Arabidopsis thaliana: one gene and its partner. The protein of the gene in region 1 purifies or fractionates together with the protein of each later gene. This does not show direct contact. Each region holds a gene or a part of one and is shown on either strand. Other genes may lie near its edges. The genes, in order: RbcX1 and LHCB5.

Evidence for each region.
Region 2: the proteins of RbcX1 (region 1) and LHCB5 purify together in Arabidopsis thaliana (affinity purification with mass spectrometry, with the first as the bait; one study listed by BioGRID). This does not show direct contact.

Annotation. Positions count from the first base shown.
Region 1 is NC_003075.7:2,115,773-2,120,581, reverse strand, and holds RbcX1 (Chaperonin-like RbcX protein), read left to right. Parts: upstream 1-1,964; 5' UTR 1,965-2,018; coding exon 2,019-2,169; intron 2,170-2,284; coding exon 2,285-2,379; intron 2,380-2,461; coding exon 2,462-2,579; intron 2,580-3,527; coding exon 3,528-3,544; intron 3,545-3,653; coding exon 3,654-3,716; intron 3,717-3,801; coding exon 3,802-3,882; 3' UTR 3,883-4,029; downstream 4,030-4,809. Other genes in the region: AT4G04320 (malonyl-CoA decarboxylase family protein), read right to left, coding at 4,057-4,141, 4,229-4,314, 4,397-4,469, 4,554-4,682, 4,769-4,809. UniProt on the Arabidopsis thaliana protein: Chaperone involved in RuBisCO assembly process.
Region 2 is NC_003075.7:6,406,026-6,410,454, forward strand, and holds LHCB5 (light harvesting complex of photosystem II 5), read left to right. Parts: upstream 1-1,981; 5' UTR 1,982-2,174; coding exon 2,175-2,364; intron 2,365-2,447; coding exon 2,448-2,532; intron 2,533-2,621; coding exon 2,622-2,672; intron 2,673-2,770; coding exon 2,771-2,891; intron 2,892-2,997; coding exon 2,998-3,132; intron 3,133-3,210; coding exon 3,211-3,471; 3' UTR 3,472-3,824; downstream 3,825-4,429. Other genes in the region: AT4G10330 (glycine-rich protein), read left to right, coding at 526-673, 781-931, 1,018-1,111. UniProt on the Arabidopsis thaliana protein: The light-harvesting complex (LHC) functions as a light receptor, it captures and delivers excitation energy to photosystems with which it is closely associated.

The DNA of each region.
Region 1 (4,809 bases):
TCGGTAAATTAAACATTATTTTTTTTTTTTTGTTCTAATAATATTTTTATTAAAAGATTTATAATTCAATTCAATTTAAAGTTTTCTTTTGAAATGGTTATTTAATTTAATACATTTCATATATTATATATATTCTAAACATTTTTCGGTAAATATCCTAAATATTTTATAAATTTTAAATAACTATATTATTTATCTTTAATAAATTATAATGTTAATAAAATCCTAACATTTTTCCTTTTTAAAAGTAATTAGAATTGATGGATATATATTAGATAAGTAAATGCTAATAATTAAGAATATTAATTATTTGATAATAATAAATGTCAATAACATTTCTTGTAAATAAGTTCCAACTTGAAGATTTATTTGTTAAAATGGCAGCGAAAATGTATATGTAGAAGATGGAGATCATATGTTGGTGGTTGCTATTAGATGTAAAACATAACGTTGTACTGTGAACTATATGCCATGTATTTCTCCTCCACAAAATCTATTCTCTGGAAATTAACCTAAATTTTTAAATATCTGTATTTTGCCTCCTTTTCATTCTATTTTGTTTGATACAAACGATTGTGGTTTGTAATGTTAAAATTAGGAATGTTATTGAATGATATGTATATTTCATAAAAATAATAATAATAAAAGTAGGATGAATAGTAAAATTCCAAGGCATTTCATAATTTACCCATTACATGGTCAAAATTTATCAATATTTTAAAATAATAATAATCATCCAATCAAGATTTTGGGAATAGAATATCTTAAGAACTTAGTATAATTACATATATATATATATATTCCCTTTTAAATGTATCAAAAACAAACTAAGAACATACAAGGAATTTGATGTAGTACTATACAATTTACATGCAAACAGATGTAGTACTATTTGATGACAAAAAAAAAAAAAAAGATGTAGTACTATTTTATCTTTTCATCGGAATAATTCGGTCATGAAGCTATTAATTGGTTTTAATGAGAATTTATTATAACAGTTGTTGCCACACTGTCGAAATACTAACGCCTAACGGCTAGTTAAATAATTAACACGCGGTGAGAAGTGAGTGAGTTACACGAACCACTAAGAATCTAATATAGGAAGATAAGATAAGCATTTCACACGTGTGGTGTGGACAATTTAACAGTGTTAACACGCGCATGGCATGTGATCTAGAAATTAGAACATTAATTTTAGCGTTTTGACTTTGACCTTTGAATCACTAGGCGTAGGTATTTACACGTGTAACAATATAATTTTTTTCAATATGTGATGATCATGGGCCAACGTTTGTGGGTAAAGGTGTGGTGTTCGATCATGATCCACTTAAATTTACTGAATTTTAGAATTATAACAGCAGAAGGATATAAGTAATATACCAAACTTAACTATAATCTACCTCTCCTTGTCTATGTATACTAAATGTCTAACATGTAACACAAAGCTGTACAAAATTTTTAACTCTCAAATTTTTTGAAATAATGCAAAGCTGTAAAAATAGCTGTACGAGAAAACTGTACAATAAAACTGAAAATAAAAAAATTTGTAACGTTTTTGATAAAAGTTTTGTAAATGTATAACCATCAAAACTGTACAACTTCCAGCTTTGATAATGAATTACCATTCAAAGCTAGAGTTTCGAATTTTTTCATTGTATACAACCATTTGAACACAACTCTTTTCAATTATGCCATACATACATTTAGTTAATAAATTTTACCGATTAACTAGTACTGACAAAAGAAACAAAGAGTAATTATATTTTTTTGATAAATTGTTTTATTAGAAAAATACTTAAAATTGATAAAAATAAATAAACCCAATTGATATATTTGATATTACAATACCAGATATTGAAACAAATAAGACATGTTTTGTCTATATACTTCCAACTAGAAGATATTTATTTATCCATATCCTAGATATTTTAATGTGTGAATCTAATACATTCTCTTATATACGACCAAATAGTAAAACAATATGCCTCTCCTGCAATTTTTCTTCATCCAATATTTCTATGGAGTCATCTTCTTCACTCCTTCATCACTCTTACCTCTCTTACCTTAATCCAAAATTTGGAAAAAGACCTTTGGTTTCTTATCCATTAATGCAGAGTTCGCGAAAATGCAAACAAACTCGCATTTGTTCTAACAAGATGTATGTTCCCGGTATGTAACAATATGACATATTCATCACAAAATGTGGTTTTTATTCATACAGAATTGTTCTATATAGATTAATGCCTATTTTTCTAATGTTTTTTTTGTTATATAATTGAATTAGGCTTTGGAGAAGCTTCACCGGAGGCTAAGGCAGCGAAGCATCTTCATGACTTCTTTACTTACGTTGCAGTGAGGATAGTGTCTGCTCAGCTTGAGGTTGATTTGACGATTTATTTGATTTTTTAATTTAGGTGTTTTGATTAATAATAAGTATGATCTATATATTAATTAATGACAGAGTTATAATCCTGAGGCTTATATGGAGTTGAGAGAATTTTTAGATACAAACTCTGTAAGTGACGGTGATAAATTCTGCGCCACTCTCATGCGTCGCTCTTCACGTCACATGAACTTAGGTACCAAAAATAACACCTTTATATCAATAATTTGGTTATAAAATTCTAGTATGCGTTTTCTTTTTGTGAAACTTGTTAGTTGGAATTTTAATTCTAGGTTCTTAAAGTTATACATTATACTTTTTTAACAAATTTGGTTTTCTTCTAGTAATTTAGACGAAATCTCTTTACTTTTTCCAAACATTCTTTTCGTACATTGGAAGTTGAAACTTCTCACTAAAATAACTAGTTATGGGAGTTCGGTTTATATATTCGGTTTCAGTTATATCCATTCGCTTATCGTTTTTTTTTTTGTTTTAAAGTTTAGTATCCCTTCGGTTAATTTGAAAGTTCGGTTCGGTTTCGATTATTTCGGTTTTAAAATTTAGTATCCATCCGGTTATTTTGCTTTAAATATTTTTGGATATTTCGGTTATTTTCGGATATTTTTGGATATTTTCGGATATTTTGAGATATTTTTTTTATTATTTTTGAATATTTTTACTATTTTATATATATTCTCAAGTATTTTTAATTATCTAGTCTAGAAATAACTAATACTTTTGTAAATATATATTTATATTTTAGATATTTTTGGTTACTCAAAATATTTCGGTTGGTATCCATTCGGTTTCAGTTATTTCGATTATAAAATTTTGTATCCATTCAATTAGTTTCTGGTTATCGGTTCTGTTTACTTCGGTTTTGGTTTGGTACATCTGGTTCGGGTAATTTGCTCAGGCACAAAACTAACAGTATAACACAACTAATCTGTGCAATTCTTGTAAAGAAAAACTACTTCAAAAATTGCGTGACGAAATACAATTCCACCAATTTGCGGATTACTAACGAAATCACTTTGTAGATCCATAAGTTTCGTATATCTTTTAGGTATACATATACTTGATATGAGATAAGTAAACTAAAAACTTTGCTTTTTTTTTTTGGTATCATGGCCAATGCAACAAGCCCTTCGAATTTTAGAGGTAAGCTAAGCTTTTCTTTTCTCCTTTAATACATTTTCGAAAACACTTCTACATCTTTTCTCATCTCTACGTTTGTATTTACGGTTTGAAACCGTTTGTTACCGCTTAGGTACGGTCTGCTTATTGTAAAAACGATTTCGAATGGGATAATATGAAGCGCCTCGCCTTCAAGGTTCACTTCTATCTATCTCTCTCTCTCGTTGTACATATATGAATGCAAGTACGTAATGAAGCATCTTGTGTTTTTGAAAATGCAGAACGTAGATGATTCCAACACAAGACTCATGCGCGAGTACGTCTTGGAGACTAGCCATGTCGAAACCGATTCTGATAAGTGAAACCGAATATCTCTTCGAATCACATTCATATATATAGAGTCTTGAGAGTATACACACTTGAAACCGTTTGTACATACATATACATACCATTGTGCTATGTTACTCCCAGGTTTTGATACCTTAGTTTTTTTTACCTGCAAATCGATCAAAACCCGATTTTCTTTGCGGAGTTACCTAGAGACGGGAATGGATACCGGGAGAGGCATGGATTTTGCCCGACCCAAAATACGATTGAGCATAGTCTTCGATATTCTCTAACCTGTCATGAATCGAATAAGATGGGTTTAGGACCAACAAAAATGAAAGCTTCGTAGCTGAATAATTTAAAGTACAAAGTTTACTTTACCTATAGACATAGTTTACCATAATGCCTCCACTTTGACGAATACCTTTCTCTGATCGATCCGCCATCCAATTTATTCTTTCAACCATCTATGTAACGTATCAAAACATGAAAGCTTATCAATCTCAATCACTCTATTAACTAAAACCTATCGTCATTCACTGGACTTACCGCTCCATTTTGCAAGTGGAAGTTAGCAACAGAGTCTAAAGCTTTTCCTCTCTTCTTCTCTTGCAAGAGGTACCTATCAAAATCAAGAAAGACCATTGAAAGTTATGCCTATATGATTCATATATAACCATTACATCTCCTCCAAGAATGAACATACCTAGCACATAACCGCATAAGAATAGGTTCTAAAACTGGTAATAGGCGAGGCGAAGTAGCCCAATCGCAGTTCTTTACTGATAGCAAATTCAACAGAACTTCCATACCGTTGCTACCGGATGAAGATTCACTGCATAAAAAGATCACTGAGTTGATGACTTGAACTTGATTTTCTATATAACAGATAAGAACATAAGGGCATGAAGAAAATCTTACTCTGATAGAGTCATGAGGGCATGTTCCTCTTCTGGTAGTAA
Region 2 (4,429 bases), 4.3 Mb from region 1:
GTTTTAAAAATTAAACATGCATATTGGATGGAGTTTAATCTAGTTGAATCTAAAATTTAATAGTTTTACGAAAGATTTGTTATTAATTTTAGTTTTGAAATTGAGAATAAAACTAATGAGGCATCAATCCATTAAATATATGTAAGAACAAATCTTCATATATTATATAATATGTTTGGCAAATATATATAAAGTAACTGAAAACAAAGTGAAAATTTGAGAATAATTGTGGGTTTTTTAGTTTTATGTATTAAAAAAAATGTTGTTAATGAAAATCCATATTATTATGATATAAAACAAATTCATTATGAATATAAACATAACAGATATCTTCTATAAAATTCATTATGATATAAAACAAAAGATTAAAATAAAATAAACATAACAAATATCGCTTGTGAAATGAGATCTATATGACTATTGGGCTGAAGTTGGGCCTTGAGAAATAAGAGTGCGCCTTATAATATAGGCCCATTTAAAGTATGTATTGGCGAATCCACGCCGAAAGAGAGAGCGAAAGGGACGATGAGCAACAGAAGAAGAACCGGAGACGATGACAAAGGATTGCTCTGGAAACTTCCCCAAGTTAGGATCAGAGACATTGGAAAAGTTGGTCCAGCTTTTGGACTCGGTGTCGGTTGCGGATTTGGTTTCGGCGCCGGTCTTATCGGAGGTAAATTTCTAATTTCTCCCAATTTTGATCGCAGACTCGCGAATCGCTCGAAGCTATTTATAGATAGTTTTGGTTTAAGAGAGTAGAGATTGGTTTGATGAAAACAGGTGTAGGATTCGGACCAGGAGTTCCTGGATTACAATTTGGTCTTGGATTTGGAGCTGGTTGTGGAATTGGTGTAGGTTTTGGCTATGGTGTTGGAAGAGGAGCTGCTTATGATCACTCTCGTTCTTATTACAACGTTGGAAAACCATCTCTGTGAGTATTTGTCTGCAATTAGATTTTTAGTGATTAAGGATTTGAAGAAGAAGATGATGATTTTGACTTTGGTGATTTGTTGACAGGAATGAAGTTGATTCACTGATTGATGAACTTGTTGTTAGCACGAAGAAGCTTGTGAAAGCTACTACAAATGAAATCGACAAGTGGTTAAAATGATGAACTTTTAGGATTTGTTGCAGCTTCCAAGTAAATGGTAGTGTTTGGTTTGTTCTTAGATCAATAATGTAGATTTGGGGCTAGTGATAATCTCCTTTCTTTTTGTACAATTTTACGTATGGTATAAAGATGGATTCGCATAATTTAGGTGGCTGATTTATCATTCTGGTAATGTGTATGGTTTGAGTGCTGATTTTTGGTGCTATGAGTTGTTCTTTATGGCTCAACTTGGATCAATATGGAGGTTGAGTTTGAGATTTTCTCTCAGTTTAAGGAGGTAGAATAGTGCGTATAGTGGCACAGTGAGCTCAGCTCTAGGGCCAAAGGGCATAAATTCATTATAGCTCTTTCGATTCTACCGTAGTACTGTGTGTGAACCGGCACTGTGAACCAAGATGATTAAATTTTCGTATTCTCTATGTACATGATCCTGCGGCTCAATCGCTTCAGTTTCGATCCACATGATGTATATGTTATAGAATTGTGGGAAACTCCTTGTAGAAAGAGTATGTTCACGTCTAGGACTAGTCGGATGATTCGTTTCTCTTTTTGGTGTAATGAGTATGTTCATAACTGTTGATACAATGTGAAAATCTAACCGTTGAGCTTGGGAGTTTTACGTCTATATGAAAATTCCGGTTGTCGTCTACATTACGGTAGTAAACAGGACCACAGTGATTCCAAATGTCCCAAGGAATTTACTGAAAACCCCAACTAGGACTGTGAAAGGCTTGTGGATGACATTTAACAGTTGAGATTTTCATGTGTTTGAGATTCTTGTAACACATTTTGCTGTATAGGTGAAAGCTTAGCCACACAAAAGGAGAAACAGAGGATATGGATAAAATAAATTATCCAACAAAAACCAATCTAAAAGCCACATCAGCATCCACAACCAATCAGAGGACAGAATCATATTTCACATTTTCAATCCAGACCAATCAAAATCCTGAACGAATCCTACTCTCCACCTTATAGGAGCAGTTTCGTCTCTTCCTCCTTCTTTCACTTAGCTCTTCCTAGTGTTAAACCAGAGTAAAGCTTGAAACTTTGGACTAAAAGAATGGCGTCTTTGGGTGTGTCGGAAATGCTTGGTACTCCCCTTAACTTCAGGGCAGTTTCAAGATCGTCTGCTCCGTTGGCATCAAGCCCATCCACGTTCAAGACTGTTGCTCTCTTCTCTAAGAAAAAGCCAGCTCCTGCTAAGTCCAAGGCTGTCTCTGAGACTAGCGATGAGCTCGCCAAGTGGTATGGTATGTGTCTTCTAAATCCCTTTTATAATCATTTCTTGCTCTGTTTCTTTGTGAATGTGTTTGTAATTGTGACTCTTATGCAGGTCCTGACAGGAGAATTTTCTTGCCTGATGGTCTTTTGGATAGATCAGAGATCCCAGAGTACTTAAACGGTGAAGTTGCTGGAGAGTAAGACACTTTTTCATGTCTCTCTTTGTATGTATGCCTACTTTTGGATTCTGTGCTTAAGGTTTATTGGTCTGAATCTGAATTTGCAGTTATGGTTATGACCCATTTGGTCTTGGAAAGAAGCCTGAGAACTTTGCTAAGTAAGTAGATTCTTTTATCCTAAACCTTTTGTGTTTGCTTTGAGCTATATCTATCGAATTTGTCATTAAGATTGGTTCTTTAATGAATGTGGTTGTAGATACCAAGCTTTTGAATTGATCCATGCGAGATGGGCTATGTTAGGAGCAGCTGGTTTCATCATTCCTGAAGCTTTAAACAAATATGGCGCTAACTGTGGCCCTGAAGCTGTCTGGTTTAAGGTTCTTGCCTACGTCTAATCTTTATTTACATTCAGACTTAGATTCTTTAGCAAAGCAAGAATGTGTTGATGTGATGAGATGGTTCTTTTTGGAATACTGATTGCAGACTGGTGCTTTGCTTCTTGATGGAAACACATTGAACTACTTTGGCAAGAACATCCCTATCAACCTTGTTCTCGCCGTAGTTGCTGAGGTTGTTCTCCTCGGTGGAGCCGAGTACTACAGAATCACCAACGGATTGGTACATTACTCTCTAGTCTCTACATTTAGCTATTACTCATGGGAAAATGACTAAACTTGAAATGCAAATATTTGGTAGGATTTCGAGGACAAGCTACACCCAGGAGGTCCATTTGATCCTCTAGGCCTTGCTAAGGACCCTGAGCAAGGAGCTCTTCTCAAAGTCAAAGAGATCAAGAACGGGAGATTAGCCATGTTTGCGATGCTCGGTTTCTTTATCCAAGCGTATGTTACCGGAGAAGGTCCTGTTGAGAACCTTGCAAAGCATCTCAGTGATCCTTTTGGAAACAACTTGCTTACCGTCATCGCTGGAACTGCCGAGAGAGCTCCCACTCTCTAAGCCATTTCTACTTTTTTTAAGAGCTTCCAAAATGTACACTTTGTTCGATTGGAACTCCTTTTGACAATGTTAAAAAAACTTCCATCTGAATCTTCTTGATATATTTCAAATTTTCAATGGTGCTTTATCATGCTTCTAAGGATATACATAGTCACCCATTGGTTTAATATTTGTTGTTACCAAGAACGCTCTGTCACAATTTAGTCATACATTGCGATTTTATCACTAGTGGCGAGTATGGTAAAAAGTTTCACAACTAATATTGTGATGGAATTTGGGACTATATAAGTTAGTCGAGAGATGTGATCCGTTGAACAATATTAAGTAGCAGAAGATCAAATAGCAATGAGCAGTAGCAGAATATTTTCACAACTAATTAATCATTCTTACATTGTAAAGAACTAGTATTACTCACTCTCAACAATTGCATGTCTCATACAGTAATACCGATGTGTCATAAAAATGTGAATTTTGCTTCGATTGCAAAACACAAATTAGTGTTTTCACTCTGTGAGCTTTGAAGTTGCAGAAATCACAACCCCAATTGGATTCTAAACTCTAGCTAGGCATGTACATTTGCTTCGATTCAAAATAAGAATGTTTTCACTGTCAGATCAAAGGTTCAATAAGTGATAACCATTTTAAGCAAATCAAGCATTTATATTGCTTGATATTTTGTCACATCTAACCAACATTTAACAATTACATTTACTTTTAACAAGTAGGTCGTCTCTACTTCCGACCACCGTCGGGATTAGAACTCGTCCTCTGGTGTAGTCGTCAGATTCCATGATCTATGTTTTTGTAAGGCCTCAGCCCGAGGCCCATTAAAGGGGTTTTGATTATTAATATTAGTATTATTTAAAAAAAAAAAAAATTAAATCTAAATCTGAACTCATCTTTATAAACCCAAACCCTCGTTTAATTTGTAAAACTAACACATCAAGTGTTGGAACTC